5 linked regions of the Ovis aries genome follow. The protein of the gene in region 4 purifies or fractionates together with the protein of the main gene of each other region. This does not show direct contact. Links are inferred from orthologs where the notes say so. Each region holds a gene or a part of one and is shown on either strand. Other genes may lie near its edges.

Region 1 (4,437 bases), on a different chromosome or scaffold from region 4:
TCTGCATGGGCCCCAACGTGTCCTTGTAGGGGCAGCGGGTGGTCCAGTGGTCACCCTTGCAGATTCGGCAGGACACTATCTTCTGGCCCTTGAGCTTGTTCATTGGGTCCTCCTCTTCCTGGCAGTTCAGATCCTGGCAGGGCAGGTGGTGGCAGTTCAGACGGTAGTTCAGCTGCTCCCCTGCTGCCTCCAGTAACACCCTGGCCACTGGCTCCCCCTGCCAGCCACCACACTTACCTCTTTGCTGGTGATGAATGTCATGGATACATCATCGCTGACTGTGGTGGTGGCTACGTTGGGCCCCGGTGGGTCAAATTCTGAGTTCCCAAACTTCTTCCAGTTCTGAGCTCAAGGCAGGATGGGGGACAGGTCAGGGCAAGGACAAGTGGGACCCCCTCCATTTGCACCCTAGACTTAACAAGAGCCACCTTGAGGGTGAGTGAGTCTTGAACCCTATTCACCGCCCTCAAATGCTCCTTGGAGAAGCGATGATGACAGTTGCTATTCCCTGAGGGCATGCCAGGCCCCAGCTCCATGCCAGCTCCAAGAGTAGGGGCAGCTCTCAGCCTCATGTTACAGATGAGAAAACTGAGGCTCAGGGGTAAACAGGTCCAGAGCCAACAACCCCTGGCAGGGGCTGACCAGCTTCCACCGAGTGATACTCAGGGGTGTGCAGGATCACCCAGATTTCCAGGGGCCTTGAGCTCCTTAAACAACCTGTACCTTGGCATCCTCCCCTATAAGGGACCACAATGCTCCCCACACCTCCCTGGAATGCTAGGGGAATGAATGAGAAAATACTTCCCACGAAGCACCTGAGTCTAACACCGAGTATGTAGGTAACTGTGCAAAACGTATTTACTGCCATCACTTCTGCTGCTACGACCACCTCACAGGAGGGCTTTGGCTCTGTTCCTCCCAGGCGACAAGCCGAGAGAAGTAAGAACCAACCCCTCCGCTCCCACTCCTGCACCTGCTGGACTTTTCAGGGCCCCCACGGACTGCACACAGGCCTCAGTTCTGCTCCAACAGAAGAGGTACACCCAGGGGACTTCCCCGGTGGCCCAGTGGTTAAGACTCCGCACTCTCAATGCACAAGGTGTGGTTTCAAGCCTTGCTCGGGGAACTAAGATCCCACATGCTGTGTGGTGCAACCAAACAATTAGAAAGAAACAAAAAAGCATCAGTCTCTCAATCATGTCTAACTTTTTGCGACCCTATGGACTATAGCCCACCAGGCTCCTCTGTCCATGGAATTCTCCAGGCAAGAACACTGGAGTGGGTAATCATCCCCTTCTCCAGGGTACCGTCCTGACCCAGGGATGAACCAGCATCTCCTGCATTGCAGGAAGATTCTTTACCACTGAGCCACCAGGGAAGCCACCAGGAAATTGTTTAACAAACAGTTAAACCCCACTTCTAAAAATGAAGGCAATAGGGAAAAGAACTCCTATTTTTTCTTTGAGTCAGCCCTGGAGGAGCCCCCAAGGAAGGGGGAGAAGGGTCTTACCTTCCTCCTTGCCACAGCCTTTGAGGCCTTCCGGGTCTCAATTCTGAAGGTGCGGACGATCTGTGGATAGGAGGGGAAACGTTTGGGCCTTCTGCTCCTCAAGGTTCCTAGCAGATCTTCCTCATCAAGACATCCAACACACCACTCTCTCCCTAGTCCAAGTGCCCCTCAAGCAAAGGGCTCCCACCTCTTCCCCAGCCTCACCTTGAACTTCTTGCCATCCTCATCTATCTTATACTCCGTCACTGTTTTGATGTTTCCATTGATGACCTCCTTGGGAGGTGGCAGTGGAGCTGGGAGAGAGGAAGAGACAAAGGAACTGAGCCCTGGGTAATAGGGACCAGAAGGAAGGAGGCTGGGGAGAGAGACGGCCCAGGGCTGGAGTGAAGTCGGGCACTCACCTCCCGGCAATAGCTCAGGCTCTGGACTGGTATCCCCAGTGGCCAGGGGGATCCCCTTGAGGAGCTCGCTGGTGACACATTTGTCTGTGACAGGGAGTGGAGGGAGCAGGGGTCAGCTGGGGGGTAGGGGTGGGCAGCGACAGGAACTCCCAAGCTGAAATCAAGGGACCTTTGGGATGATGCCTGCACCAGGAGCTGAGAAAGGTGGGACCAAGGGCAGAGGACTGGCCAGGAAGTGTCTTGGGATAGCCATTCAGGGACACGGAGCTGGCCGGTAGTAACTTCCAGCAATGAGAAGGGGAAGGGGATCCTTGGCCTGAGGGCCTGAGGGCCTGAGGGCCTGAGGGAAGGGGAGGGCCACAGGCATCCGGGCAATAGTATTAATACAAAGGCAGGAGTGTGGCTGTTAAACAATTTCCTGCCAGGAGCAGGGAAGCAGAAGTGCTGGCATCAAGGACTTGGGCGGTGGCACGGCAGAAGATGGGCTGGCTGGTGAACGTATGGAGTTGGAGATAGGCTGGCCCAGATGAGAGTGGCGCGGGGCAGGGGCTGGCTGTGAGGGGAGATGCAGGGTCTGACGGCGGTGCCAGGGTGGAGGATCAGAGCAGGCAGCAGTGACGGCCTGGGGCGGCGGGGGGAGGCCGGGCTGCGGTGATCCGAGGCGACAAGGTAGACTCACCGTCCTCTCCTTCCTCTTCCACCTGGTCCGCCCAACTGGGCTTCGAACTGCGGGGACAAGTTTGTCAAAAGGAGGGATGAGTGAGGCGAGGCCCAGCTCCCGCGGCCTCAACGCACCCAGGCTCTATATTAACTCCTAGGACCGCCCCCCATCCCCGGTCTGCTTACCAAACCCCCTCCACGACCCCTGACTCACTCAAAGTCTCCGGTCGGCATCGCAAAATCTCCACGCAGCCCAAGCCTGGGCCAAAGACCGGAAGTAAGAGGTGAAAGAGACTTCCGGCTCCGCTGCCTAGAGCAGCCGTAGCACTCCACAGCGCCCCCTACGGACGGAGGTAGAAGCGCCGCCTATGTGAGAGGCTGGGCCCTGGTATCTTACTATTAGAGGCTCGGCTCATTTACCTGAAAATCTTATTTATTTATTTATTTATTTGGCTGCGCTGGGTCTTAGTTGCGGCATGTAGGATCTAGTTCCTGGACCAGGAGGGCCTGCATTGGGATCACTGAATCTTAACCACCGGACCTTTTCTTTTACTTTTTTTAAAAATTAAAAATAATGACAATAAAGCTCAATTATATAGCTCTGACTGTTTGCAGGAACTGTGAGGAGGAAATTATCGTTTCCATTTTTCAGCTGAAGAAACCAAAACTGGTCTTCCTTGCCTGGAAATAACTTTTCTGATTCAAATGATCAAGATATCAAGTCACCCCCTAACTATTCTCCCTCCTTGAGTAACTCCCCCCCCCGCACTGTGAGGCTTGCAGAATCTTAATTCCCTAACCAGGTATCAGAACTGGGCGCTGCAGTGGAAGTGCAGAGTCTTAACCACTGGACCACCGGGGAATTCCTAGTAACATTCTTGGCTCCCTGATATAATCTTTTCCATTTTCTTTAATTTATTGCTTATTGTCCAGCGTTCCCTCTACTGTATGCATTCTCAGTGGGAGTGATATGACTCCCAAGGGGACCAAAATTAATTGTTCTGTGGCAAAAAAGAAACAAACAAAAAAAAAACCAACTTGGAGATGACAATGACTTGTGGCCTCCAAAGCCAACCCTCCCAGACAAAATCTTATTTCTAAACATTTAATTTCTATTGTTAGGGAGAAATTAAATGTAATTAGATTAACACTGATTTAAATGGAAGATAATTCCATTTTTCTCCTTTAGAGGGATGATAATGAAAAAAATGGTAAAAACTGCTGCAGACTTCTGCAGAAACACATTTGCCTGCTTTGTTCACTTCTGGGTCCCCAGCACCCTCAGGGTGTCTACACTTGATAAGTGCTCAATTCATGGGTATTTGGAACCGACAGGAACCAGATTATAAAGGACTTTAAAAACTAGACTAAAGATCATAGTCTCTTATATATATATTACATATATATACATGTATATATATATAACATATATAACATTTTTAAAAATATTTATTTTTATTTATTTGGCTGCATAGAGTCTTAGTTGTGGCACGTGGGAACTAGTTCCCTGACCAAGGATCAAACCCAGCCACCCTGTATCTTGAGCACAGAGTTTTAGCCACTGGACCACCAGGGAATTCCCAGCACAGGCTCTTTATCCTGCAGGCTGTGGGGTGTGAGTGAGGCGCTGACATGTTCTGAATGGTGACCCAATGTGACCAGATTTTCTTGTGAGAAAGATTATTCTGGAAGCCTGTAGAGGATAGGGTGGAAAGGAATAAATCAGCAGACCAGGAAGGAGGCTGGGAAAATAAGTAAATAAAGAGGGTGGTTGGGAATTCCTGGTGGTCCAGAGGGCACCAGAGGATGAGATGGTTAGATAGCATCACTGACTCAGTAGACATGAATCTGAGCAAACTCTGAGAG
Region 2 (4,494 bases), on a different chromosome or scaffold from region 4:
TCGCTGCTGTGGTTTGGGTCAGGTCTTTTAACTTCTCCACACAGTCCCTCCTCAGACATCCCGCCACTGTGGCACTCACAACGGACGACATTGTATCTGTCTCCACCTCTGGAGAATGTGCTTCTCCATAGCAAAGACCTGCTCTAACTTCTCTGCATGTCACCAGTGCCCAGCAAAGACCTGGGAGAGATCTGGGTACCCAGAAAATATTTCCTAAATGGAGCCGTTCAATAGGCTCCCCTGTCTTCTGTCTGTTCCTGCAATGTTCCCCACTGCTACCTGGGCTTGCCAAAGCTAAACATGCTTGGGGACTTCCCCAGCAGTGGTTAAGACTCTGCCTTCCAATGCAGGGGGTGTGGGTTCAATCCCTGGTCAGGGAACTAAGATCCCAGTTGCCACAGGGTGTGGCCAAAAATTAAAAAAAAAAAAAAGAATTGAACAGGCTCTTCCCTGCTCAGGACCCTCCCCAGCATGAAGTCCTACAGAACAGTCATGTTCCTGAGCTCACATTCAAGGCCCGTCTGGCCCTAGCCTGCCTCAGCTTCTCCACTGCTGTCTGTTTCACCCCCGAGAAGCAGGAGCTCCTGCCAGATCAGATGACTTGGACGTGCCACTTGCTGTGCTTCCACTCTTGCATCTGCCACAGCTATCGCCTCACATGACACTTGCTTTGGGAAGCCTTCCCGGGCTGATCCCATCCCCATTTCAGGCTTCAGGTGCCTCCCCCTCAGCTTTCATAGTGCACTGTGCTACCTCTAACAAGGCTTATATCTCACTGGAGTGCCTCTTTTCATCTCTGTCTCCTGATTTTCTTGTCTCTTTTTCCCTAGACTGGGAACCATCTCTGGTTTTATCTCTATTTCCCCAGAACCTGTTGACCTCAATAAGTATATTGTAGGTCCTCACTGTTTGCTGAAAAAGTGCAGGATCCAGGCTTACCTGTTTCACAGTCCCAGAGACGACAGCTGTTGTCAGCTGAGCCAGTGAGGACATGCTTGGTGTCCCCTGAAGAGGGTGTTAAGAAGCATAACAGAATTCACCTGAGTCCTTGTCCTCTTGGAAGGCCAAGTGAATCATCTCCCTATTCAGCACCAGAGAGCCTTCCTTCTCTCATCCTAACCTCCTCATTCAGAACTGGAACCTGTCCTAAATGTTCCCCGAAATAGTGAACAGACCAAGGAGTAGGAGGTAGGTAGCATCATTCTCCAGACCCCACCAGAGCATCTCAAACTCTCAGCTTCAGGTCAGCAGCTTCTCCATTGCTGGCAGACCCTGGTAGCACAGACTCAGAACAAAGATAAGGATACAGTCAGCGTCCACACACCACACAGCTCCGGTATGGCCCATGTAGGTGCCCAGTCTCTCACCATTCACAGAGTACCATACATTGACAATCTGGAGGATCAAGGACAATGTGACAGGATGATAGGCATTGTGGGCAGAGCCATGGCCTATTTTGCCCCAGAAGCTTCTAGCCAGGCCAGATTCGACCCTCCCCAGCTCATCTCTTGGGGAACAGCAGGTTGCTGGTAAAAAGACCAACTCCTGGATTCTCCTCCTGCTTGCGAAAAAGTCTCCATCATACCAGCCTTTCCCCAGACTCCTAAACCCTTTGAGGAATAAAAGGTCAAGCTGAGTATCAGCCTAGCAAAAGAGTAGTGTTTTGGTGTTCTGTCCAAACAGGAGCCGTTGGTAGGAGAGAAACCTAGGTTCCAGTCCCTGCTCTGCTACTATCTCACTGTATTATTGAAATGTGTGCTTTTCCCCTCTGAACTTCAGTTTTCCCACGTGTAAACTGGCCAGGACAATAACGCCTTTTTCAAAGAGTAGCTGTGAGACTCCAATAAAATAATGTCTAAGGAATTTAAAATGTGTCTAACATTAATATGGTACTCACAAACACTCTTTATTCAAGTAAGCTCTTTATTTGAATAATCTCATTTAATTCTAAAGACAACCCCAAGAGGGAGGTACTATTACTACCCATATTTTGTAAAAAGGGGCTCTTAAAGTTTATAATGGTTAAATGGCATGTTCAAAGTCACACTGCTAGTGAATACAGGACTCAGGATTCAAATCAGGTGTGTCAGCCCCCACGTTTAGCCACTAGGGTTAACTTTCTCCATATGGAGGTGCCTCAAAATGCAGTACTCAAAGGGGCTGTTTGCAGTGAGTGAGTGGCAGGAAGAGGGATGACTGAAATGATACCAAGGACACCTTCTTTAAGGTCTTTATCCTCGCCGCCCCAGGATCAACTTCCCCCTTCTCCAGGTGGTCTGTTCCCCTATCCTTGTAGAATAGTTTTGTTCTTCCCCGGAATGAGCTCCTCTCCGCCCCATGAGCAAGATGACCCACGTCCCCGTCCCCTTTCCACAAGGTACCCTTGCTTTTCTTCTCCCTGGCTACTCCCTCCTATCAACAATGGAGTCCTTTCCCACATCTATCGGTGTAATGCTCTTGCCCTCCAAACCCCGGGCTGATCTCTCCCTACTTCTCAGAACGGGGCACTCCTCGGTTTTTCTCGCAGCAAAACTAGCTTGTCCACCCTTCGCCCCGGGAGAATGAACGCGCCCGCTCCCGAGCCCCCTCCGCAAGGTCCCGGCGGGCCCGCCCTTCGGCCGACGCTCACAGGGTCCTTCGCCACCGTGAAAAGGAGGTCTCCCTCGCGGTTGTACTTAATCTGAGTAATGGACCGCTCATGGCCCTGCAGCAGGATCGGCTTCTGTGGGGACAGGACGGCAGTGTCAGCGCCCAGAATTGGCCCCTACCCCAGCACGGACCCCTACGGCAATACCTTTAACACAGGAGAACTCACCATTCCGGCGGTGACGCGAGGAAAGCGGCAACGTGAGTAGAACCGGAAGAGGCTTTGGCGCCACTTCCGGATTACGAGTCTCCGCCCCCTTTGTTCCCGGAAGTGGAGAGGATCGGCGTTGCCATGGCGGCGACCCTGGGTAAGCGGGCCCCGCCCCTCCCCTCGCTTCCAGACTGCTATCCCAAGTTCATTTCTTACTCCCTCCTCCACCACCTAACCCCGACCCTTGCTACAACCCCGAACTTGGGCTCCAGGATCCATCTCCCCGGCTTCCCGGGGCCTGTCCTACCCGCCAATCAGACCCGGGGCGTCGGAGAGCAAAGAAGGGATGTGGGAGCGGCGGGGTGGGAATGGGAGACCGGAGGAGGGCTAAGGCCGTGCGGTGGGGCGGCGGGGGATGTCACTCGTCTCTCCATCCAGGGCAGGTGCTGGCTCTGGTGCTAGTGGCCGCTCTGTGGGGTGGCACACAGCCATTGCTGAAGCGGGCCTCCTCTCGCCTGCAGCAGGTTCATGAGCGGACCTGGGCCCGGCAGTTGCTGCAGGAAATGAAAACCTTGTTCTTGAATCCCGAGGTGCGTCTGTGAATGAGTCCTCTCTAGAGGGTAGCAGCTAAGAATTTGGTCTCTGGAGTCAAACAGATCAGGCTCAAAATCTGTGCTCCACCACTTACTCGCCAGAAGCTCTTGGATGAGTCTTGTTTGCCTTGAGTCTCAGTTTCGTCATCTGTAAAATGGGGATAATAAGGGTAACCGTCTTACGGGGCAGTTGTGAGGGTTAAGTGAGGTGAGGCACTAAAGCAGTTAGCAGTGGGCCTTATACATATTATAATTAGGTTTCAAGTCTCTGATGCCCTGAGCAGCTAGTAATATTTTATTATGGTGATCCTTCCAACAGACTTTTCCAGAGGGAGGGCTTAGGGCTTAAATTGGCCCTGGGGAGGGGGGCATAAGGGAGAATCTAGAGTACTACTTCTGAGCTCAGTGCTGCCAGTCTCGGCTGGTGGGAAAGTCATAGACACAACTGCCTCTCAGGGGTAAGGGCTTTGAGTGAGGTACAGACAAAGTGCTTTGTGAGTTCAGAGGAGGGAGGCTGGAGCTAGGCGACTGAGGGAAGGTTTCTTGGAGAGAGGAACACTGGCGCTCAGGGACTTGCAGGATGGGGAGGACAGAAACCAGCCGGGCTGAGGGGGAGGGCATTCAGGGCAAAGGCATGGGGTTCAGTCAGTGATGTTCCCTCTGCCCTGGAAGGGTCCTTTTCAGATGGCTTGGGCCCTAGCCCTTACAGCTACCCCTCCCTCCAAGGAAAGGCTTATCTCAAAGCTCAAAGAAGGCAGCCCTGCTCAGATAAGCAATCACACTGACCAGTTTTCTTCTGTTTCCAGTACCTGATGCCCTTTTCTCTCAACCAGTGTGGCTCCCTTCTCTATTACCTCACCTTGGCATCAGCAGGTGGGTCTCTGGCTTAGAACCACTATACTTAGGATGGAGGGAATGTCTCAAACACCTTGTTGCCATGAGTGAGGGATTGGTTCCATATTTGCACCCTCTTCTCTAGGCAGTAGAGTGGTTTGGTTATGAGTATGCTGCCAGGCACAGGGTTGGTTTGAAGCCTGGCAATCTTGTGCAGCAGCAGAGAAAGAAAGTTCCTTTGGCTGTGTGAAGGGTTTGTGTGTGTGTGTG
Region 3 (4,285 bases), on a different chromosome or scaffold from region 4:
ATCCTTTTGAGAGAATAAAATTGAAATGAACTTGGAGCATCAGCTGCAGCTTTAAAAGATTCAGACCCCGCTGACAGGCAGGCACCTTTCCGAGCCGATCTCCTTTGCTGAACGGCTGGTAGGGCATATCCCGAAACTGCTCCGGAACTGCACAGGGACCCCAGCCTGAGGGGTTGTCCTGGATCACGGGTGTCATGAACTTTGCCATCTTTTAAAACCTTAAAAATACAAATAACAAAGTAACTCCATGAAGAAAAGCCTCTAAAAAACAAACAAACAAAAAAACCCGAAGTCTTCCATTTGAGGTAAGCTAATACAGGATAAAGTTAAAAAAGCAAAACACAGAACAGAACCCTCAACTGCTGAGCTACTCTCCACTTACCATCTTCTTGTGAATAAGACTGTGAATACTTAAAACTCAGACGACTGCTCACCAAATTTATGTATCATATCTCACCATTTGTTTTTTCCCACTGTACTATCTCTGACATGAACCTGCACCTTCTAACTGATGAGGTGTCATACCGTATCTGGCAACTTTTCTTTCTTAGTGTTACATGAAGATATTGTGCTTCTTGAATTCAGTGATGTCTTACAGACTTGATGAAATGTAATTAACTTTTTTTTGAGTTTAATAACCAGGTTCCAGTTTTCATTCACACCTTTACCAGACATACAATATTTAATTCCCCTAAACCTCAGTCTCTTTACCTGAAAAATAATAAGATCCTTGTTTTATTCCCATCAGAGGATCACTGTGAAAGCTGTATATATTAGTTAACATAAGCAGAAATAGTTCCATTGTAAAACGCCAGACACTTACTATTCTGTCTTACAAAAATACATTTACACACAGTGCCGAGAAAAAACAAGGGTCCATGAATGTATCCTGAAATGCAACCTTCCTTTGTTGTTCTTTCAATTTTCTGTTGTCAGTGTAAATTCTTATGCAGGGCATAGAAGTCAGGCAGAAAGCCCAGCAGAAGGTTGAGGAAGCCAGAAGCCTTATGTCATGAAAGTGGCCGAACACAGCCAATGTTCATAAACATTATGAGTACCAGGCATGTTGTTAGCGCTTTCCACACATTAATTCATTAACTCCTCAACAATCTCCTCCCGAGGTAGGGCCAGTATTAGCCCCACTTTCCAGAGAAGAAAACTGAGGCACAGAGATATCAAGAAATCGCCCAAAGTTGCAACACTAATGGATGAAAATCTGAACCCTGGGAAACTGGCTTCAGAGTCCACACTTTGTGTAAGGCCAGTACTCCGCTCAGGAAGAGTAAAAACCAGGGGCTCGACAGATATCTGCCAAACAATTCCTCCCCAAAACTCATGCATGCATTTATCATCCATTCTAATCCCCTGAAAATGCCCAGAAGCTGAGTTCCCAGGGGAAAATTCACCACACAAATATTTCCAGAGTCTGGGGAGCAATCAAAGAGCTGCTGCTGCTAAGTCACTTCAGTCATGTCTGACTCTGTGCGACCTCATAGATGGCAGCCCACCAGGCTCCCCTGTCCCTGAGATTCTCCAGGCAAGAACACTGGAGTGGGTTGCCATTTCTTTCTCCAGTGCATGAAAGTGAAAAGTGAAAGTGAAGTCGCTCAGTTGTATCAATCAAAGAGCAAAGAATACTAAATTTATGAAACTCTCTTCATTTTCCCATGATGGGGAGAGTTCCTAGAGGTGACACTTGCGTGATCCAAAAGGGCATGAACCTGGAAGCCCCATCCTCCTACCTAAACTTAAATTACACTACAGGAAGCGGACTGAGGGAGAGTGTGGTGGTCTCAAAACAATATACCCTTATATATTACCAGGGTCCTACAACATGTCAGATGCAACACCACTAAACCCCTAGGCCCCAATTTCAGATTAAAAAAAAAATACACAGTTCAGCCAAATCAAGCAGCTGATCTCATCATTTCAAGATAGACTTGGTTTCTAGGGTCCTCTGTCTTAAGTGTAACACTCTTCCCATTATTTTACAGCTGGACAGCAGCCTGAAAAGATCCTGGGTTTCAGATCATATCAATAACACAGTGAGATATCTCCAAACACACTTTAAAAGGGGCGGAAGGAAGTCGCTTGGTTTCAACGCGTAAACTAAAAAGTAGGCAGAGTACAATGTAACCAACAGGGGAAACTAAATCTTTCAGTTGAAACGGAGTGACAGCTGTACTGGCTACAGATAAAGGATGGGGCGGCATCAACAGGACAGTCATAGGGAGAACCTTGTGGCTGGCAGGTTACTGCAGATCGTTTGCCAATTCCTGGGCGGTTAATGTCAAATCAGAGATCAACCAACTACATCCTAGCCTTCCATTTCATAGGCAAGGAAAAGAAACATTTAGACGGTGAACTCCTCAGAGCAGGGCCGAACATCGCTCAGTTTGGCACACCCAATAGCCCTCTCGTAGAAGCTCAGGGAACCGTGGGGCACTTTAAAAGACCCTGAGACTCAGCGGGGTTAATGACATGTTCACATCAGAACACACTGTCGGTGGCCGCTAAGCGGACTCCACGGAAAGAGACCTCAACCACAGGCTCTGCCCCGCACTGGGTCGGACCTGGGGGGACCGAAGGCGGATTCCTGCCCCTCCCAGCGGAGGTACAGGGAAGCAGGAGGGGGCGTACGGAAGTCTCTTCCGGCAGGCCCCCGAAGGCCAGGCGCAGCTCAACTCTGCTCTGGAGATCCGCGGAAGCGTACGGAATACGCTGCTTACCTGTAACGGCCGTAACCGGCCCCGATGGTGAGAGATAGTCTAGGCCGAATACCGCGCCACCGCCTGAGCTACGGGGAACCGGGAAAGGAGGAAACATGCGCGCGCAGCGGCCGGCACCGTAAATACGACCGACGGTGTCGTAAACTGCTTCTTGGCTTCCTTCCGGTTCGACGGCGGAACACGCGAGTCGTAAAGCGAAGGCACATCCGGAAGTTCGTCCCTGTTCTCTTCGCGGTGTTCTTATTTAGCCTTCGAGGATGTTTACAGTTACGTCATGGGGCATCCGGCGACACTCCGAGAGTTTCAAGTTTCTTGAAACGTGGCGGCCTTGTAGTTGGAGTTGGAAGCGGCGACTGGCTGAAAGCCCCTCTATGTCCCACAATGCCTTGCGGGCCGCTCTGGCCCTCTGTATCCCACAACGACCCGCGGCTTCTGCCTTCTTTAAAAGATCGTGTTGTTTGAGTTTCACCGTTAGGGGGAGTTCGAGTCTTTCAGGCAGGTTTTTGCGGCTACTCGCTGAGCTTTGAGCGCTTTCGGAAACAGACCAGGAGGTGCAAAGTGACCTGAGTAGATCAGACTACTAGTGTCGGAGGTCGCTGCCAGTGTTCAAACCATACCTCCACAGTTCTCAGACTTTCTTGTTTGACAAAGATTCCTGGAGAGCTAATTTGAAAAATGAAGATTCCGGGTCCCCTTCCATAGACTGTTATACAAGCGTGGCTTAGCTGGAGCCCAGAAACCTGCATTTTAATTGGTGGTGATTCTGAAGTGGCGACTCAGGAACCACCTGGCTACGATGGCAACGGTGCTGTCTTTTTGGAAACTCAGCCTACGGAGTTTGTCCTGCAGCACGCCAGGCCTCCCTGTCCATCACCAACTCCCGGAGTTCACTCAAACTCACGTCCTTCAAGTAGGTGATGCCATCCAGCCATCTCATCCTCTGTCGTCCCCTTCTCCTCCTGCCCCCAATCCCTCCCCAGCATCAGAGTCTTTTCCAATGAGTCAACTTCGCATGAAGTGGCCAAAGTACTGGAGTTTCAGCTTTAGCATCATTCCTTCCAAAGAACACCCAGGACTGATCTCTTTCAGAATGGACTGGTTGGATCTCCTTACAGTCCAAGGGGCTCTCAAGAATCTTCTCCAACACCACAGTTCAAAAGCATCAGTTCTTCGATGCTCAGCTTTCTTCACAGTCCAACTCTCACATCCATACATGACCACTGGAAAACCATAGCCTTGACTAGGCGGACCTTTGTTGGCAAAGTAATGTCTCTGCTTTTGAATATGCTATCTAGGTTGGTCATAACTTCCTTTCCAAGGAGTAAGCGTCTTTTAATTTCATGGCTGCAGTCACCATCTGCAGTGATTTAGGAGCCCCCCAAAATAAAGTCTGACACTGTTTCCACTGTTTGCCCATCTGTTTGCTATGAAGTGATGAGACCAGATGCCATGATCTTTGTTTTCTGAATGTTGAGCTTTAAGCCAAGTTTTTCACTCTCCTCTTTCACTTTCATCAAGAGGCTTTTGAGTTCCTCTTCACTTTCTGCCATAAGAGT
Region 4 (4,435 bases):
ATGTGGGTTGGATCCCTGGGTTAGGAAGATCCCCTGGAGGAGGGCATGGCAACCCACTCCAGTATTGCTACCTGGAGAATCTCATGGACAGAGGAGCCTGGGGCTACAGCCCACAGGGTTGCAAAGAGTTCAATAGGACTAAAGCAATTTAGAACACATGCACGCATTCTGTCCCTATCACTTCTAGGCCATTTCTAGTTAGGGTTAGATTACAAGAACCCAGTGATAGGGACAGAATGACAGGATAAAATAGGTGACTAATTAGATAATCCCACAAGGGATTTTCTATAAGTAGAAAATATGGGAGACCCCTGTAAGTTAATGATTACTTGAGAAAGCAGGTTTGCCTCACCACAAAACCAAGCAGGGTTGCTTAGCAACAAAACCGAAGCAAGGGACACACCATAAACAATAAAACAAAGGTGGCAAGAGACCCACATCCTGCCCAGTGATCCCTCCGAAATGCTCTCTGCATGCGTAAAAAACTTTTGTGGACCTAGCTTGACCACACAGGGACAAGAAAACTCCCCTGCTCAGTCTGGAGGAGCTAATGATGAAAACATGATGTCTACTCAAGAAAAAGGAGGTCTTCTCCTCTTTCCCCCTTTTCCTTTGATTATAAAGCTGTAGCCAACTAGTTCTTGGGGCATGGCATTTCTTGCCCACCTGCTTGTAAGTCTCACAAGCGTTCTATTCTAATGAATCACTTTTTATCTACCACTTTGCTCTTGCTGAATTCTTCTGTGCACTGAGACATAAAGGACTATAGCACTGGAGCTCTTCAGAGTCCCCCTGAAATGACACCAATCAGTTTCACATGTAGTGTGATTAACATACATGACTGGAAAATCTTAGATATTGCCAAGGACAAAAATTGGAAAGAAATTTAAAAAAAACCCTTCAATATAAGCTCGCCATTAATGAACAGAATGATGTTTGACAAATCATGTCTCAGTTGCCAAATATGCTGTAGAAGTAAGTACAGCTCTTCATAGTTTGTCACATTGGGACTACCGATTAATTAAAAAAATTAGAAGTGAAAGCACTTTATACGAATGACGCGCTACATAAATGCTAGCTATAAAGCAATTATGATTCACTACCTAGTGCATATCGATTAAACATAAAGGGAAAAACACTTTCAAAAATTTCTTTTTGCATTTCTTAAAGCTTTCTAAACGAAAGAAGCACACACCCCTCCCCCCAAAGCACAATGCACATGCGCAAGGCGTTTCACTGCCGAAGAAAGGCTGGAAAAGAGAAGGGAGGCGGGGCTTCCCCTGCCGGCCTTTCCTAACAGCTCCGCCCCTCGAACGCCAGACTGCGCCTGACGTCAAGTGAAACTTTACTTCCGCTTCCGGCAACTCACGTTTCTCTTTCCCTGTCCGGCTGGAAAGATGGCGTCCCGCAAGGAAGGCACCGGCTCCTCCGCCGCCTCTTCCAGCTCTACCACCGGCGCTGCAGGCAAAGGCAAAGGCAAAGGAGGATCCGGAGATTCAGCCGTGAAGCAAGTGCAGATAGATGGCTTGGTGAGTGGGGTTCCTTTTCTCCCAGCCCACGTGGGTTCCCAGCCCTCAGTTCCCAGCCCGGTCTTGCCAGGCGTGCTTTCCGGCAGTCTCCCCTCTGGGCTTGCTGAAGCTGGGCCAAGGTTTTCCCGTAAAACTTTCTTTCTTTATCTTCACTTTATGTTCGGAAGACGCGGCTACCTTCTCTGCCGTCTCATCAGGGAATTGAGGACTCAGAAAGTGCACCTGGGCTCGGGTGTGTGTGTGTGACAGATTCTTGGGGGCTTGTTTTGAGATACTTGGGACAGGGTTTTTGGAGAATGACTATTGTGGGAGGCAAGTAGGTGTCGGAGGTGTCGAGAAGGATATAGAGCTTTTGGAAGGGGAGAGTAAAGTTTGTTTCCCTCTTGGGATCTGACATCTGTAACTTTCCAAGTGGAGATTAGTTTGTAGCCACTTTTGAGCCTGTGGTTCAGCGGTTACGTGAAACCGCGTTATTGGAATAAATACCTTATGTTGACTTCTTTCCCTCTCTGTGAATATTGGAGTGCCTTGGGATTTGGGTTTAGGCGTCCTTCCACCTGGTCTCTGCTTGACAAAGCAGATGAAAGCGCAACTCTGCTGTCAGACGGCCTGTCTTGAAATCCAGCGCTAAAATTAGCTGAATGACGTCGGGCATATTATTAATCTCTTCGTGCTTGGTAAGTTAAATAGTAAGAGGTGTTAACATGTACTTTTAGCTGCTGTTGTTACATTTGCAAAAGTTATAGTAGTAGACTTTCTTTAAGGCAGTCTTTTCAAGACTTTAAATATTATTTGTATTCTGATAACTCGTAGGTTTATTTCTTGTCAGACGTGGTTCTTGAATGCGACTCTTATGCATCTTGCTTGTCGCTGTTAGGATATCTCATAGGAACTTCAAACTTAATGTGTCCAAAATAAAATTTTTGACCCTTGCCCTGCTTCTCTCCCATGCATCGATCTTACCTCACTCTTTCCTATCTTAGTAAATGGAACTGCTATCTACCTGTTTGAAAAGTCAAAACCTGAGCATTAATGTATGCTTGTTCTTATTTTACCTTTGGCGTCCAGTCCCTGAGCAAATTCTGTTGGTTCTACGTCCAAAATACATCAGATTTCCTTTGCTTTTCTTCTAGATTCCACCGACCATATCCACTTAAAATAAAATGTAGAATTCTTACTCAGTCTTCAAGGCCCTGCTACTATTGTCTCTTTCTTCAGACTCATCTCATACTTTCTTCTAGGCCTCAGTCACAACTTTCAGTGTTTTATTTTCTCAGCCTGAAATACAAATATATCTTCCTACTCCGTGGCTTTTTTTGAGCCTTTAAGGTATTGGCTTAAGTGTCAGCATCTCAAGAGAGGCCTTGCCTGACTACCGTGTAAAACATAGCTTCATTCCCGTTACTCTCCCTTACATCACCTTTATTTCCTTCATAGCATTTTCCACTACTTGCAGTTGTCTGGTTTGTTTTCTTGTTTTTCTCTCCCAGTAGAATGCAAGCTACTGAGGGCAGACAGGTATTATGACTTTTCATCTGTTACGTTCCAAAACTGAATCAGTTAATTGAGATAGGATAAATTGATGAATGAAGTATTTTAGTTTCTTTTTGTAGTTCTTCCGTTTCACGTTCTGATACCTTTTTCTGTAGATTATTTTCATAGCATCTTGAATTGTTCTCTTAGCCTGCTTCAGTCCATCCTTCATACTTTTATTAAAACATGCACTTTAATGTGAAAGTTCAGACATGGTTAACTTCCCTCTTGAAATGTTTTTAGTGCCTTTGCAATGAATTCAAGGCTGACCAAGATGTCCTTGGCATTTGTGTTCAGGTTAACTTGCCACTGTTTCCATGCTTCGTAGGAATGGCTCATTCCAGCCACACAGGACTAATTTGCTTAGTCTGATGTTTAATCACATTTGTTTCTGGCACCTTGGTGATAGCCAGGGCCAGATTTCCTTTTCTTCTTGAGCCTCTCTTTTCGAACCTTTAGTTTTGTTTCATCAATCTTTAATTTTACCTTTCTCTTAACACATGGTGATTGTCAGACTTTTCCATATTAAAATGTCCAGCCCTGTCTCTTTTTACTTAGCACTTGTCGTTTATTCTTGGGCGTCCCTGATAGGTCAGTTGATAAAGAATCCACCTGCAATTCAGGAGACCCTGATTCAATTCCTGGGTTGGGAAGATCCGCTGGAGAACAGATAGGCTACCCACTCCAGTATTTTTGGGCTTCCCTTGTGGCTTAGCGGGTAAAGAATCTGCCTGCAATGTAGAAGACCTGGGTTCGATCCCTGGGTTGGGGAGATTGCCTGGAGAAGGGAAAGTATGCCCACTCCAGTATTCTGGCTTGGAGAATTCCATAGTCCATCAGTTTGCAAAGAGTTGGACACGACTGAACGGCTTTCATTTGTGTTCGTTCTTAGTCCCCACTTCTTTCCTTTGATGTCAGTGGTTAAACAATTCATCTGTATTTGTGGCCTTCCATTCTTTCTTCAACTCAGTGCTACTAGAATCTGCCATCACCAGTTTCTTGATTTAGTTTTTAAAAAGATGATTGATAACATTAGCAAAGAACTGTAAAACAACAGGATATACATGTAAAATAATGTCTTTAATACATAATTTAAGTAATCACAGAATAAGTATCCATTTACCTGCCTTTTAACTTGAGAAATGGAATTTTTAGTCTCTTTGAAGTCCTTTTCATTTCATCCTTTTCTCCCATCCCTTGTTTGTGCCTGTAATCACTCTTGTGAGCTTTGTTTCAGTAATTTCTTGGTTTTCTTTATAGCTGTACCACACAGAGTATTCCCAAACGATTTGTTTACTTTGGTGTGTTTATATTAATAAAAAGCATGAAGTGTTAGTTAAATCATAGTGCATGTTCACCTGTGTCTTGAATCA
Region 5 (4,512 bases), on a different chromosome or scaffold from region 4:
TTCTCTTTGTATTTGTACTTAAATTTTCATAAGCCATTTTAACTTTCACCTTCTGAATCTGGGTATCTTACTCCCAGAGTAACAAACATATGGTACAGGAAGGGGTATGAAGATAGGTAATACATGAACTGCATATAATAGCAACCAGTGAAACCGTTTTTAACTATAGGAGTCAGCACTCTATGAAAACCACCATTGGACACTATCTTACCATAAAAAATAATCAAACAAGATGCCACATATAATGGCATTCTGAAGTGTTATGCAAATAAAAGGCCTTGTGTGCACACAGGTACACTGTTAACAATCCCAAGGCAGTCTAGTCTCACAAACCACTAACCCATGTCAAACACATTTGATCCCCTATAGGTAAGGACACAGATGCAATAGTTAGCTTTGGGACACCTCCAGTTCTTGAAGTTCAGTAATTAGTCACACTGGATACTGTATTATTGCAAAGAATTTTTTGGTTTCATTTAAAAGTAAAAGGGAGTGGATATATGTACAGTTATAGCTGTTTCACCTGTGTACAGCAGAAACCAACGCAACATTGTAAAGCAATTTTCCTCTAATTAAAAAAAAAAGTAAAAGGCCTGTTAAGTTTTATCATGTTTCTTCACAAAGAAAATATAAGATGTTTTTTCAGGGGCCATCAAGAAGTATATTGAAAATAGATTAATTTTATAGACCCATTAACACAGTGGGCCTGTATTAATATAATTATATACCAAATCAATACAATGGGAAAAGATCCAAAGTGGGGAAAGAAATTTGATAATTTCTCAAGGGCTGTCAGATGTACCATTGTACCCCAGCATAAGTGTCCCTTATATGTATTACACAAGCTAAAAGATTCATGTAACTGTATTAAAGGAGATGAGGGCTTCCAATTGGGTAGAGTGGAAGAAGAGACCTCACTAAGCACATCTGTTTTACTAGTCTGGACTTTATTTACACAATGCTATCGGCGTCTTTCACCTCTAAAAAAATTCCACACAAGTTATACAGAAAAGGAAAACAGGCTTTTCACTAATTATGACACTGAGACACCAGGACGGCAAATTCAGGCCAAAATACTTCAGATGAAGCTCCTGGGCAGCATCCCAAACTTATGATGATAAACCAACCTTGTTAGTCCCAAGTTGATAATGGGAGAAGAACGAGAAGTTTCAAAGATTGCAACCTTACTCTGCCATCTGCAGATAGTGACCTTGAACGAGTAATTTTCATATTCCTCACACAGGAGATAACCAACATCTGCCTATCTCACAGAACATCAAATTAGACCACACACAGAAAAGTGCCAGGTCAATTGTCAAGTGCTACGCTAGTGAAAGGTATTATGCTCAACTGCACGTTAATTTCCTCAATATTTTCCAAAGGCATACATCTCTATGTAAGAGAGAAGAGAAATTCTTGGTGAGAAATCAGTGTTCAGAGATAAGTCGTTCAACAAATGTTTTGTACAATGTAGGCTCACACCAGGGAAAAGAGATCATATCCCCCATTCTAAAATCACTGTTGACAAAATGTTGGCACAACTCTCTACTAAGTCCATCAGAAGTGCAGGCAGACTTACATGAAAGTGATATTTCCTCTCATTCTAAACAAGAATTCAACTCCAGCCACTAGTATTCTTCTAAAAGCAACTCCTAGCAGTTGTGCAGTTACCCTAAAAGAAAAAGGCCCTACCCTACTGCTGCGGCTATCAAAACTCAACCAAAACGGAAGCTGTCAAGGGCTCTGATCTTGGTCACCACTGGATCCCCAATATCCAGAAGCATGCCTGACAAATATACAGTTCACACTCAAGTAAAACTGTGTTGACTGAGTAAGAAAAAGTCCAGAAGAAATCTAGGTCTCCACCCTGTTTCCTCTCCTCCAACACGTGGGCGCATCACACCGGATTCCCTACCCCCGTCTTAACTCTAGCAGCGCCAACCTCCAAACCTAATACATTTACCCTTGGAAGAACATAGGGGCCGGATCACACTCTAGAAGGGGAAGAGCAAAAAGTGGAAGGACCTAAAGAGAAAGCAACACAGGCGAGTAAAACCTTCCCATCTGGACTCTCGCGCGTGCTTTTCAGGCGCGCCAGTCTCCAGTACCCTAGGCTCTCCGACCGCGCACGCGCACCGCCACCTTCCTCCGCCCCTCCAGCGACTCGCGCTCGGGTTCTAACTGCCCCCCCTTTATTCCCTGCCCCCACTCCCGTCCGCAACGGCCTCGCGCCTTGGAGACCTAGTTCAGAGTGCACCCGTCCGCGCGCCAACCGCCTCCTTCCTTCCTCCACGCTTTCACGCGGGCACACTGCTTCACGTCTATGAGAAGGCCTACATCTCCCGCTGATCTTTCTGCGCCTCCTCCTCACTCCAACTCAAGCCAGAGTCTACCATTACTCCCCAGTCCAACCTCGCGCAGATGGGGTGAAAAGGGTGTGAGGGGGGAGGGGAAGGTCCTTCCCCTCCCCCCAAACATCCCGAGGCAATAACCTAACATGGCCCAGCCGCCAGCCTGCCGCAGCCCCAAAATCCGAAGGGAAGAGGTGCCGCCCACCCCCCGACTCCGAAGAATCAGTGGATCAGGCTCGGAGAGTCGCTTCGGAGCCTGGTCCTTGGCCGCACTCGGCCGCTCACTCACCTGAGGCCGCCATGTTGGGAGAGGGAGAGAGAACGCAAAGGACCCGGATGAGGCAGTCACGTGATTAGAGCGAGCGCGTCGGGCTAGGAGACGCGAAACTGGGAGGGGTCGGGGAATTAAGGAGGGACACAGGAGGCGGGGCGGCGCTCCTCTAGGTTCGTAAAGCAGCGCGAGGAGGTGACGCGGCATCCGACGGGAAGACCTGCGCGACATGTGGCCAAAGGGGTGGGGCCTGCGCTGTCGCGAAACCCCTCACGCTTTACGTAGGGCGACGCGCGGACAAGGGGCAGGTCTCAGCCTGGGGCGGGGTCTCCTGAGCCGCAGACTTCCTGCCTGTGCGGTAAACGGAAGGGGTGGTGCGGCGTTGTCAAGTTCCACCTCTCTGGCACCGATTGGAGGCGGGCTGGAATCCAGAATTGGCGTGCCCCAATTGGTTTCCTGGGAAGATTCTGAGTTTCTTTGTAAATCGCTTTTTGTTAAAGCAAAATAAACCACCATTCTGCTTAAGGATGGTTTTAATTGGGGATGTTTAGAAGGAAAAGAAGGTAACATTCATCACTTACTTGCCATGGTCTTTTACTAAAAGTCTTTTAATCCTTCGTTTTGCAAACTAAATTCAAACTCAGGCCCTTAGGATTTCACCGTCTAATGCTATCTGCGCTTCCTCTTGTTGCCAGGTTGTCCTTGAGACCCGGTGGACTGTAGCCCGCCAGTCTCCTCTGTCCATGGAATTTCCCAGGCAAGAATATTGGAGTAGGTTGACATTTCCTTCTCCAAGGGATCTTCCCCATCCAGGGATGGAATCCACGTCTCCTGCATGGGAAGAACGATCTTTTACCAATAAGCCACCAGGGAAACCCCATAGGTAGTAGTTCATTCAATGAAAATTTGCTTTGCACTCCTACCACGTGTCAGGCGCTTTTATTGGCATTTTGGGTATAACTGGAGAATAAAACTCCAAAGCATGTTATATAATTCAGTGAGGGAAAGACAGACAATAAGCAGTAATTAAATGAAATATTAGAAATGTTAAGCACTCTAGAGGTAATTAAGGTAATTTGATAAAACTGATTTTGTGCAACTTAAATTGCATGGTCAGGGAAGGCCTCTGAGGAAGCGACATGTGAACTGAGATCTGAGTTACAGAGAGCCAACCCCCTGAGGAACTAGATCAAATGCTCCAGGACAGGAACATGTTGGCAAGTTTGAGTCTCAGTTTGGTGACCGGAAGGGGGGTGGGCGGTAAAAGATGAGGTTTGAGAAATATGTTGGGGTTCAATCATGTGAGGCTCTGTGAATCAGGTTTAGGAGTTTGGATTTTATTCCAAGTGGACTGGGAAAGCGTGGAAAGATTTTATGCAGGGGAGTGTGAGGACTTGAAATAGTTTTGTAAAGGGTTACTTACTATCTTGATATGGGTGATGGTTACATAAGTGTATATTTAAGTACCTCAGATTGTACACTCAAGAATTGTGCGCTTAGTGTATAGAGGTCATACTTTAAACAACAGTGATGACAACAACAGGATTACTCAGTTTACTGGATGGAGAGTGGGTTATACACCTGCACTGATGGAAAAGAAAGATCAGTTAAAAGGTTCTTGGTGCCAGGACCTCATAATGTCTTCATGGACCCTAAGCACTTTTGCCTTCATAGGCCCTTTTCTCCTTTTAAACAGTGTTAACATTATTTGCTGCACTGGGTCTTCCTTGCAGCCTGTAGGCTTTCTCTAGTTGCAGCACATGGTAGCTTCTCTTGTTGCAGAGCATGGGCTGAATTGCCCCATGGCATGTGGGATCTTAGTTCCCCAACCGGGGATTGAACCTGTGCCCCCTACATTGGAAGGAGGATTCTTAGCCGCCGGACCACCAG

The links. Proteins that work in one complex are often made in the same cells at the same time.
Region 1: the proteins of EIF3H (region 4) and EIF3G purify together in Homo sapiens (affinity purification with mass spectrometry; 8 studies listed by BioGRID and IntAct, counting the BioPlex papers as one, with this or other methods). This does not show direct contact. The link is inferred for Ovis aries from reciprocal best matches to the Homo sapiens genes EIF3H and EIF3G.
Region 2: the proteins of EIF3H (region 4) and EIF3I purify together in Homo sapiens (affinity purification with mass spectrometry; 7 studies listed by BioGRID and IntAct, counting the BioPlex papers as one, with this or other methods). This does not show direct contact. The link is inferred for Ovis aries from reciprocal best matches to the Homo sapiens genes EIF3H and EIF3I.
Region 3: the proteins of EIF3H (region 4) and EIF3D purify together in Homo sapiens (affinity purification with mass spectrometry; 10 studies listed by BioGRID and IntAct, counting the BioPlex papers as one, with this or other methods). This does not show direct contact. The link is inferred for Ovis aries from reciprocal best matches to the Homo sapiens genes EIF3H and EIF3D.
Region 5: the proteins of EIF3H (region 4) and EIF4B purify together in Homo sapiens (affinity purification with mass spectrometry; 3 studies listed by BioGRID and IntAct, with this or other methods). This does not show direct contact. The link is inferred for Ovis aries from reciprocal best matches to the Homo sapiens genes EIF3H and EIF4B.

Annotation. Positions count from the first base shown.
Region 1 is NC_056058.1:12,527,589-12,532,025, forward strand, and holds the start of EIF3G (eukaryotic translation initiation factor 3 subunit G), read right to left. Parts: upstream 2,856-4,437; 5' UTR 2,806-2,855; coding exon 2,786-2,805; intron 2,638-2,785; coding exon 2,591-2,637; intron 1,996-2,590; coding exon 1,912-1,995; intron 1,804-1,911; coding exon 1,715-1,803; intron 1,571-1,714; coding exon 1,511-1,570; intron 343-1,510; coding exon 238-342; intron 134-237; coding exon 1-133. UniProt on the Homo sapiens protein: RNA-binding component of the eukaryotic translation initiation factor 3 (eIF-3) complex, which is required for several steps in the initiation of protein synthesis.
Region 2 is NC_056055.1:235,308,549-235,313,042, forward strand, and holds the start of EIF3I (eukaryotic translation initiation factor 3 subunit I), read right to left. Parts: upstream 2,856-4,494; 5' UTR 2,819-2,855; coding exon 2,816-2,818; intron 2,723-2,815; coding exon 2,630-2,722; intron 1,396-2,629; coding exon 1,308-1,395; intron 1,006-1,307; coding exon 940-1,005; intron 1-939. Other genes in the region: TMEM234 (transmembrane protein 234), read left to right, coding at 2,939-2,954, 3,236-3,387, 4,197-4,263. UniProt on the Homo sapiens protein: Component of the eukaryotic translation initiation factor 3 (eIF-3) complex, which is required for several steps in the initiation of protein synthesis.
Region 3 is NC_056056.1:180,582,278-180,586,562, forward strand, and holds the start of EIF3D (eukaryotic translation initiation factor 3 subunit D), read right to left. Parts: upstream 2,856-4,285; 5' UTR 2,730-2,855; intron 219-2,729; 5' UTR 209-218; coding exon 86-208; intron 1-85. UniProt on the Homo sapiens protein: mRNA cap-binding component of the eukaryotic translation initiation factor 3 (eIF-3) complex, a complex required for several steps in the initiation of protein synthesis of a specialized repertoire of mRNAs.
Region 4 is NC_056062.1:60,662,160-60,666,594, forward strand, and holds the start of EIF3H (eukaryotic translation initiation factor 3 subunit H), read left to right. Parts: upstream 1-1,373; 5' UTR 1,374-1,397; coding exon 1,398-1,529; intron 1,530-4,435.
Region 5 is NC_056056.1:133,421,448-133,425,959, forward strand, and holds the start of EIF4B (eukaryotic translation initiation factor 4B), read right to left. Parts: upstream 2,856-4,512; 5' UTR 2,654-2,855; coding exon 2,641-2,653; intron 1-2,640. UniProt on the Homo sapiens protein: Required for the binding of mRNA to ribosomes. Functions in close association with EIF4-F and EIF4-A. Binds near the 5'-terminal cap of mRNA in presence of EIF-4F and ATP.